Linked DNA regions of Drosophila melanogaster. The protein of the gene in region 1 interacts with the protein of each later gene in a pairwise test. Each region holds a gene or a part of one and is shown on either strand. Other genes may lie near its edges. The genes, in order: CG33110 and Rab6.

What was found.
Region 2: the proteins of CG33110 (region 1) and Rab6 interact in a two-hybrid assay, tested with the Drosophila melanogaster proteins (one large-scale study listed by BioGRID).

The regions. Positions count from the first base shown.
Region 1 is NT_033777.3:22,568,299-22,573,437, forward strand, and holds the start of CG33110 (uncharacterized protein), read left to right. Parts: upstream 1-1,889; 5' UTR 1,890-2,204; coding exon 2,205-2,364; intron 2,365-4,096; coding exon 4,097-4,287; intron 4,288-4,368; coding exon 4,369-4,449; intron 4,450-5,139.
Region 2 is NT_033779.5:12,106,527-12,111,136, reverse strand, and holds Rab6 (Rab6), read left to right. Parts: upstream 1-2,020; 5' UTR 2,021-2,337; coding exon 2,338-2,964; 3' UTR 2,965-3,916; downstream 3,917-4,610. Other genes in the region: Phae1 (phaedra 1), read right to left, coding at 682-1,494; ThrRS (Threonyl-tRNA synthetase), read right to left, coding at 4,375-4,610. UniProt on the Drosophila melanogaster protein: Protein transport. Regulator of membrane traffic from the Golgi apparatus towards the endoplasmic reticulum (ER). Mediates membrane trafficking during egg chamber growth and organization, possibly upstream of exocyst component Sec5.

The DNA.
Region 1 (5,139 bases):
GTCATCCTTGCCGGCTTTGGATACAGATTCGAATACGTCGGCCCCAAACATGGCCAAAATAATCAAGCCAAGCAAAGGTCGAACTGGCCGGGCTGAACTTCAAAGAACCATTTACTAGGCACTCAATGCGCTCGGCGTTAATTTGTCGCAAAACGCAAATGGTTCTGTATGGAACTAAATGGCATAATTACGGGTAATATACCCCGGCGAAGGCTTCGCTGCACGTCCGATAATTTACACAACTTAACGACGAACATAACCCAGTGGCTTTTGCCTTCGATCTCTATGGATTTACACACGTCTCATTTATCTGCGGATTGATCGTGTATCTAAGGCCATCTGCGATTGGACACCTTGACACGTTTATCACTCCCTAGATCTTCTGGATTCTTGGCATCGTTCTAACTGCCCGAGAATTTATTTAGCATATCAGCAAATAGGCCCCGAATCAACACCTCCAGGGCCGATTAGCCGAGAACAGGTTATTTTGCTTGTAAGCATGAATGGGAATTACAAATAAACATCGTCGGCTGAGGTCATTGGAAGACAAGCCGGAAGTCCAGGAACCAACATAGCTCAAGCCTTTAATTTAGTTTGTCACAATGTAAGGCACTTGCACATTAAAGATGCCATTAAAAACTTGTTTTAATTGTACGTGCTTCGCTGGTGGACAACTAGTTTGGCTCCTTAGATAATTAATAAAAAAAAAAATATTATGCGAATTACAAACAATAGAGTTGATTACACTTTAGAGCTGATCTTAGGTGAAAGAGGAGCTGTGGATCCCTATGCTTCAACCGGATTAATTTTATAGTGAAAAGGGGTCTCGTTGGCAGGTTAATAAATCCGTTTATTAATATGCCACACGTAAAGGTTTTAGCAATTATAGGCAATAATCTTATAGTACTCGCTTTTATAGCTTACTTTGCAATTGAAGGGATTAATAAAAATCACAATTATTATAACGCTTCGATTAATTTTATGATTAAGTTGTAATTGTAAAGTTATGCATTGCACTTGTCTTATATTTTATTTAGGTGAATACGATTTTTGTGGTATAAAAATAATCTTAACAAATAAATCACATTTTAAAGCCTATGTAAAATTAGAATTAATTGTGAATAAAATCCGTTAATAAATTTTCAATTGTTTAATTGTGTAAAAATATTTTTTTTATGTTACAAATTTATTTACAAATTGGAAATTTCTGGAAGTTTAAGTTTTACCTAAAAACATATAACAAATAAGTAAGTAGTTTATTAAAGTTAGCATGCAATAAACGCATTACTGAATTTTTTAACTACTTACTTTCTTAGCTTAAACTTATAATTAACTAAAGAGTAAAATTTCATTTCGCAGCTAGATAAATTTCAAATTGCAAACAGCAAAGAGCCGAAGAGTTCAGCCACATCGTAGTGCATTGACCTATAAAAAGTTGAATTCACCCGGTGTCTCGAACCACCGGCAACAAAATCATCGGCATTCAATGTTGAATGCCAAACGGAACATGCTAAAAATCGAAAAAACTCGAATGCGACTCAGTGGGCCAAGCACACACAGATACTCACACACATACTCACACACATGCGAGTAATGGGGGTTTGTGGCCAACACAGATGTAGAAAAAATTGCATGCACTGCGGCGCCAACTGAACGAAACTTCCGTTGTTCTATGGCTCTTTTCGGGGGATTCGCCATTCGTTGAGTTGCCGAAGTCGGGCTCTATCTGTTATTGGGCATTTGTAGTTGTACTTGTGAGCCAGCCAAGTATTTTGCACAAGCGTCGCGATCGCAGCCGCTCAGCCTCTGCCACCGATTCTGCCGCTGCTCTGCTCGGCTGGCGCTGCGAAAAAGTTACTTTATCTTGTGATTGCTGAGAAGTTTTAGATTCAGTTGAGCATAAACATTCCTAAGGTGTGGTGGTAGAATCCAGCCAGATCTGCGCGTCTATATCCAATACGAATTGGGCAATAATAAATTAAACAGCGAATACAGCGAGTCGAAAAGTGATTTTTCTGAGCGTGTGCAGTCAATAAAGTGCTTTCGATCGGCCCGAGCGCAGTATGCAACATCCTGCGGCGAGCCTCTGACCAAACGAACTGAACGTATAAAACGCACAAAAAAAAAAACGCCCACCGTTTTGGATACTTCAAGTTTTAGGCCAAGGATAAGCCTGAGGATAACTGAGAACCCATATCATCATCATGAGTATGAACTACCACAACTACAACAGCAGCTCGCGATTCGAAATGGTCGTGGAGATAGCCAATATCGCGCTGGATGAGTTCAAGACCCATCACATAACGCGCAACTATACGGGCCTCGTGCAGCGCTACTACCAGCTGGTGGAAGAGGATTACGGCGGTAGGTGTCAAGTGTTCGGGTGCTTTTCGAATATCTGGTGCATTAGCCGACTTAATTATAAATCCATAAAAATGACGAATTGCCATGAAATTGTCATTTTTTATGGCCTACAAATCGTAACACAAAACCTAAATGCCAAACAAAACGAACACGAGATGGCAAAGAAAAAATGTTAAAAAAAAAAACCACACAAAAAAGAAAAGTAAAAAGACAAAGCCAAAAGTTGAGCCAAAAAACTTCTAGGACAATTAAAAATGATTTCTTGTGTGCGTTTGTGTGTGCGCGCTCTTTAAATTGCGACCTTGGCAGTGTCAATTGTATTTTTGACAATTATTAACGTAATTAAAATGTATTTACATTGCTTATCTTAGACATTTTTATGATGCGACCGTCGCCATCGACGACTTTGGTTTTGCTTTTGGTTTCGCCGTGTGCAGCTGAGCATGTATTTATTAAGTACAATAGCAGCCGGAGCACTTCGAACATGCCAATTGCCTCTGGGGTCTGCCCATGAGTTCCGTTTCCAGAGGTACCCCATATTCACATATACACTTTCCTGGCAATGCGAAAAGTCGGCGGTGAAAGGTCAATGGCAGGCAGTTGCAATTAAAAGCAGTGCAAATAGAGTTATTTTTTCGGTGGCTTAGTGATACTAAAGCGGGTTTAAGAAGATTACTTAGTGCCAAAATCACGCTTACGAAGCAAAAACGTTCGGGGGTTTTTTTGGCCATAGACAAAAGACTTAGAACACAAACTTGAAAAAAGTAACAGTTCCGGTCCGTGAGCGAAAGACTTAGGACACGAACTTGACGCACAAATTGGGAGAAAACTCGAGACTTTTTTATGTTAGTGCTATGCAAATTTATTAAAAACAAAATATATATTAAAATATATATATATATACAAAATATATATTATTATATTATATTAAATATATATTAACGAGATATATTAATTTTATGATACATGAAATATAAAGGTTTTTTTTTTAATCTTAATTTGTAGCATATTTTACATCATAACAAAAAATGTAAAGCAGTGTACAGACAAATATTTATAGACATAGAAATATGAATTTTCTCTAGTTTTTGTATATTATATTTTAGCATCTTAATATTTTAGTAGAAGCTTCTGTTTGACTTAGTAAACTAAGTTATCCAAATGACATTGAGGCCCAGAATAGAACCAACTGCTCAGTGCAACAGGTCAAGAATTCCCGGCATAAAAGTGATCCCAAGCAGCCAATGGAATATTTGTAGTAAACAACTATTTGCTGGCAATATCGTCGAACTGGATGATAAATCATAACTATTGTAGTAAACAAGCAGTGTTATGGAAAAGTTGGTCCATTTAGAAATGCAAAGCCCCTTGCAATTAATTACCATATCATTTCTGTGGGGTTTCTTTAAATTACCGGGCTATGACGTCGATGTTTACTAAGATATGGAATAATTCCCTAACCGGCATGCCAGCCTCGCATATTTTACTATTATTGCTCAGTGTAGAGGCGATTGTGCTGACACTTTAAACGCTACAAGTGACAAGTTGACTTTATATTTAGCCACGATTTCATTCAGCTGGCATGGATTGAATGGCTTGGCTGAAACTAATTAAATGCAAATCGAAGCTGTTTCGTACCGTCTCTGCATTAGCATAGGCAAAACGTATAGCAAATGAAATGAACAACGAATGGTGGTAATTAATTAGGATGTTTTGCGTCTAAATTTTACAGATCCGCGAGCAAAGCGCTTCCCGCTGATGGAGCACCCAATGTTCACCTTTGGCATGGTGGCCGTCTACTTATCCTGGGTCCTGGTCATTGGACCATTGTTCATGCGCGATCGCAAGCCTTTCCAGCTGCGCCGCACCCTGGTCGTCTACAATGCCTTCCAGGTGGCCCTCAGTGGGTATATGTTCTACGAGGTGAGTTCGAATCTAGAGATTAGCATATAGCCTAAGGTTCGTCCAACTGATATCATTCCCTTTTCGGTTTCTCACAAATAGCACCTAATGGCAGGCTGGCTGAACTACTACAATCTGAAGTGCCAACCGGTTGACTACTCCGATAGTCCCAGTTCCAAGCGGGTAAGTGGTCGCAACCGGTCATCTAAGTTCTGAATTAAATTCACTGTCAGATCGAAACTCGCTCATCTCCAATCAAATTTCTATTTCGAGAGGCACGCGTGGACTTAAGGAGTTTATGGTCTCTTTAATATGATTCGGCATTTGTCATTTGACCGGTTGATAGTTGGTTGTTGGTCGGTCTTTGTTTTCGCCTCACCTTGCCGGGTTCATCTTCCGCAGTTGGCTAGCAAGTTCGTTGCCTCTGTTTTGTGATGACTCACTGACTCCGGCAGACTCGAGAGTCATTTAGTTCGGCTCAAAGCCACTTTTTTGACCAGTCATAGAGCAGATACGAAAACAACCACAAATAAAGTGTTTTTAATTATGTCTCCGCGACAGCACAAAGTTCACATTCAAATTTTAGTGAGCTCGGCAATTAAATGGTCAGCTTCTTAATCCAAATTCTACCTTTTATGGCTTTTCAAGCAGCCATTTGTTACGCCTGTCCATCGATTGTATTCCCCTTTCCCAGGCCACACAGCAAAAACAATTAATGGCAATTTGAAGTTAAATGCACAATTTTAATCCAATTTGTTTTTGCACCACAAATGGGTCTTAAATGCTAGCAGATTTGTAACAAAAGCTGAAACCAACTTACCGATTTTTCTATACTCTAAATTTGATTTAAGAATTGCAGATGAAATATGAATA
Region 2 (4,610 bases), on another chromosome or scaffold:
CATTCGCAATCATGGTTTTCACAGAACTGTTTACATTGGCACTATCGACGGCTTTTTAAATTAATTCGTGATAAAAAATTTCATGCGAGCCAACCGAGAATATGATAAGAACTTTCAATCAGAGCCCTTGTCTTTCAGATAAGAGCCTATTATAACTTAAGATTATACGATTTTATATATATATATTTCTCTCTTGTTATGATAGACTCAGTCAACAATGAGAATAGATGCAAAAGGGTGTTGAGGGCAATATCTCAAGTTTGTCATTCTGTATTTTCGAGGGGATCCCCGTCCATTGATAAGGAAAATATTATAAATATAATATCTATAAGACCATTGTTAAAAAGGTTAGTTCTGGTAAGAAATGTTTAGATTTTGAAACCATAGTCTCAACATTATTTACTTAACTCACATATTTCACAATGATTCGGTTCGTTATTCTGTTATTGTGCAATGTAAGAAATTGTTATTTACAGCCCGAAAATATGTGAAGCATATAAATCTGTTCGTTGGTTGCTCACCGTGTTCCTCTCTCTTTACGAGATAAGATAAACTTTAAAAAACAGCTCGTTGTTTGATATAGTAGCTGTGATGCGAAGGAAAGTCCCACATTTAAGTGACCGCCACTAGGGACACACATTTGATTGCTTTTATTGAAAAAATAGGGAAAAACTCGACTATTTAGGACACCTGCTGGTTAGCCGATATCCACGATATAAACGACGAGACCTGCACGTAAACCGACGGTGAGTTGGCCTGACCACAAGGTAACTTGCCCCAGGACACGATGCCAATAAGGACATTGCCCTGGACCAGTGGTCCGCCCGAATCCGAGGTGCAAATGCTAACGCCGCCAGTTAGAGGACCAGTGCACAGATTGGTCGAGTGGACATCGCTGCCCTTGGTGCCCAGGGCGCTTTCGCAGGAGCTCAGCGAAATGATAGGCACATTGGTGGCCACCTGCAGGGTCGACGGATAGGAGGCGGTATTCGTGGTGCTAGTGCTGCCCCATCCGTACAGATTGGCGGTGCCAGTGGGCACCACTCCCGAGGATGGTAGCGTCACTGGGGCAACGGCGGCGCTCCAAACGAAGGCGGTGGGCGTGTAGATCATTCCGATGTCATAGGGCACAGTTCCGCCGGTGTACAAGTCATTGATCACGAAGTACGTGATGCTCCGCGTCTGCGTAGTGCTTGCAGTTCCGTCCACCGCGATGCTTCCGGCCACCAAGGTGCTGCCCAGCACCTGGTTACTATTGGTCAGGCAGTGGGCAGCGGTGACTAGCCAGTTGGCATTCAGAATGCTGGCGGCACAGTAATGGGTGCCACCGTACTGCATGGACACCGCATAGGGAGCACTATTCACCGCTGCCGGAGATCCACCCACGACACGCCCCTCGGGTGCGCCGATAGCCACTCCGGATATTCGGCATATGCCCAGTAGGAGAAGAAGCCCACTGGCCAACGACTTTGTTTGCTGTCCGTTCGCTAACATAGTTTTCGCGGAACTGTTTACATCGACCTTTATCGCGGCACGTTTAAATTAATTCGCCATTCCAAAATTTTGCCAGCGCCAGCAGATAAGGCTTTCAATTAAGGACCGTGTGTTCTTCAGATAACCACTTATTATAATTTGAGATTAAGCGACGCCCGAACAGTGACTCTTTGACAGAAGTACGTCAAGTTCCACCGATAGGATGGGCAAATACCTACGCTCGTTTATCTAAAAACAAGCAAATCACTTTAGAGAGCTTTATATTTGAAAATCGCGTTATCACCTGTTAGTATTTCTTACACTTAGTATTCACTTTTTAATATGAAATAAAAAGTTAAGCAATTACCTTGTACTTCATCAGTATTTAAACATTTTAAGCAGGTAAATTTTAGTTAAAATTATTTAATAACGGTAACGAATATCAATCGATTTTTTTTTAAATCATAAAACATCGATTTAGTACAAATATGCGTTTATCGATAGCGTGGCAGAGAAATTGCTTTTGATTGCCACTCTGGTCACACAGCAACTGACTCAGAAGTTAAAGAAGAAGAAGCAGAGACCGTAATTTTTCCACGACTCAACCTAGCGATTTACCAAGCCATTCGAGCCGCAATTGAGTCTTTAGCCAGACGGAAAGCATTTAGAGCGTGTGTAATAGAGTGCGGCAACTTGAAAGCGGTGCATCCCGAGAAATCGCAGTGCGAAAGGGCCCCGAAAACCGCTGGCCCAGCCCCATTATAAACAGTGAGGAGGGGTGGAGATTGGTGAGAGCGGAGCGGAGCGAGAAGAGAGTTCAGCAAACCCGTAATTAAGAAAAAGTAGACACGTACGTTGAGGAAGATGTCATCCGGAGATTTTGGCAATCCGCTGCGGAAGTTCAAGCTCGTCTTCCTCGGCGAGCAGAGTGTGGGCAAGACCTCGCTGATTACGCGCTTCATGTACGACAGCTTCGACAACACGTACCAGGCGACGATCGGAATTGATTTCCTATCGAAGACCATGTACCTGGAGGATCGCACTGTGCGCCTGCAGCTGTGGGATACGGCGGGACAGGAGCGATTCCGCTCGCTGATACCCTCGTACATACGCGACTCCACGGTGGCAGTGGTCGTTTACGATATCACCAACACCAACTCGTTCCACCAGACCTCCAAGTGGATCGATGACGTGCGCACGGAGCGGGGTAGCGACGTCATCATCATGCTGGTGGGCAACAAGACGGATCTCTCCGACAAGCGTCAGGTGTCCACCGAGGAGGGTGAGCGCAAGGCGAAGGAGCTTAACGTGATGTTCATCGAGACAAGCGCCAAGGCCGGCTACAATGTGAAGCAATTGTTCCGACGGGTGGCCGCGGCACTGCCCGGCATGGATTCCACGGAGAACAAGCCCTCCGAGGACATGCAGGAGGTTGTGCTAAAGGACTCACCCAACGAGACAAAGGATCCCGAGGGCGGCTGCGCCTGCTAGAACCGGTTGAGCCGACGATCCAACCATCCTCTCCCCCTTTTTCAACAGCAGGAGCAGATGCAGATGCAGGAGATCGGCCAGCAGCACTGGTGTACACAGGTGTCAGGTGTATGTACTGGCCGGATCTGCGGCGGATTCCTCAACATCTATACACACATACACACTTTACGTTTAAGTTTATTTATAAAGTAACAAATGATAGCAAAGGCAAATAGACTAAACAACAATTAACGAAATCGGCTAACTAATTACTGTTAATTGACGAGCTAATCCCGAGCGCAGGCGAGTGCGAATGCTAACTCATTGACACGAGATCAGGGATCAAGATCAGAGTAATATTTGCGAGTTAGCTACCAGACAAGAATATAGTGTAGTGCATTTCCGATACCCCCTAAACCCTCTAAACGAAAAAAAACCCAAGACCATGTACTTATGTCAGGCCAGGCGGTCCCAGGATCCTCCGACATTCCAGCTCTCGGCATCTCCAGCAGTCGTAGATACCACGCAGCCAGTCTGTGTTCAATGATTCCACCAGCCAGGCATTTTGTTTCCAATTTTAGCCCCCGTTCTGTTCTGTTTGCGGCTTTTGTTTCGCCAGTTTTGGTTAGGATTTCGGTTTTTTTTTTAGCACAGCGAACGCGACTGCTAACTGGAACTGTGGATGGCATAGGACTTGGCCACGTGCATCTTATGAATAAATATACACAAATATAAAATATGTATTTTTATGACTAAAACTGAAACAGATAAGCAGAGCACGAGCAGAGCAAACACTTAACAATATTATTAACGATTTTTGCTTCGATTAGCGAGAGAACTTTGTGCATTTTTTACGCGAAAAGCAAAAGCTTACAAAATTGATAATTGAATAAAAACATAAACTATTGATGCAATTTTTAATAAATCAAATTATGAAAATGAAAAGTATACAAGATACTAGCAATAAATTAATACAAAAAAATAAATTCAAAACATGACTCATACGTTGTGGGTGCACGCACACCTTTCCCAAAAAGTTTTCCGCCAAATGTGGGCCGACTTATCTTATCATTCCAAATCGTTCCTGAATGGACTACAGCGCACCTCTGTGTCGGCATGACTAGTCCTCAATTGCTGACAAATTCCACTGATTCGTCAAGAAACTGGAGTGAAATAGGCGGCTTAAGGTGGATCAGAAAAATACGATTTTTAGTTGGGGAAGCTTAATAATCGTATATTGAATCGAATTGCTTTTATTTGATTGCATGCTCTTCTCTTCTATTTGAAACACCTTAAAATGTGTTTGGATTTGGTTTTTTATTTGTGAATTCCGGTTTCGTAAGCGTAAATACATAGAAAGAACAAAAATGCGTACTTGCTTTGCTATGCAAATGTTAAGTATACTTTTGATAAATAGTTCGAAATAGAGTCTTAGAAGCTGTCCTCGTTGGCGATGAATTCGTCGCGAATCTTTTGCAGCTTTGTGATGAGTTCCGCCACGGAGACCTCGCCGTGCACCTTGTTGTCCCGAGTGCGCACGTTAACGGTATTCGAGGAGCGCTCCTTGTCGCCCACCACCAGAATGAAGTTGAACTGGGCCAACTGAGCATTGCGTATCTTCTTGTTCATCGTGTCGCCGGCATCGCAATCCGCCTCGCTCATGAATC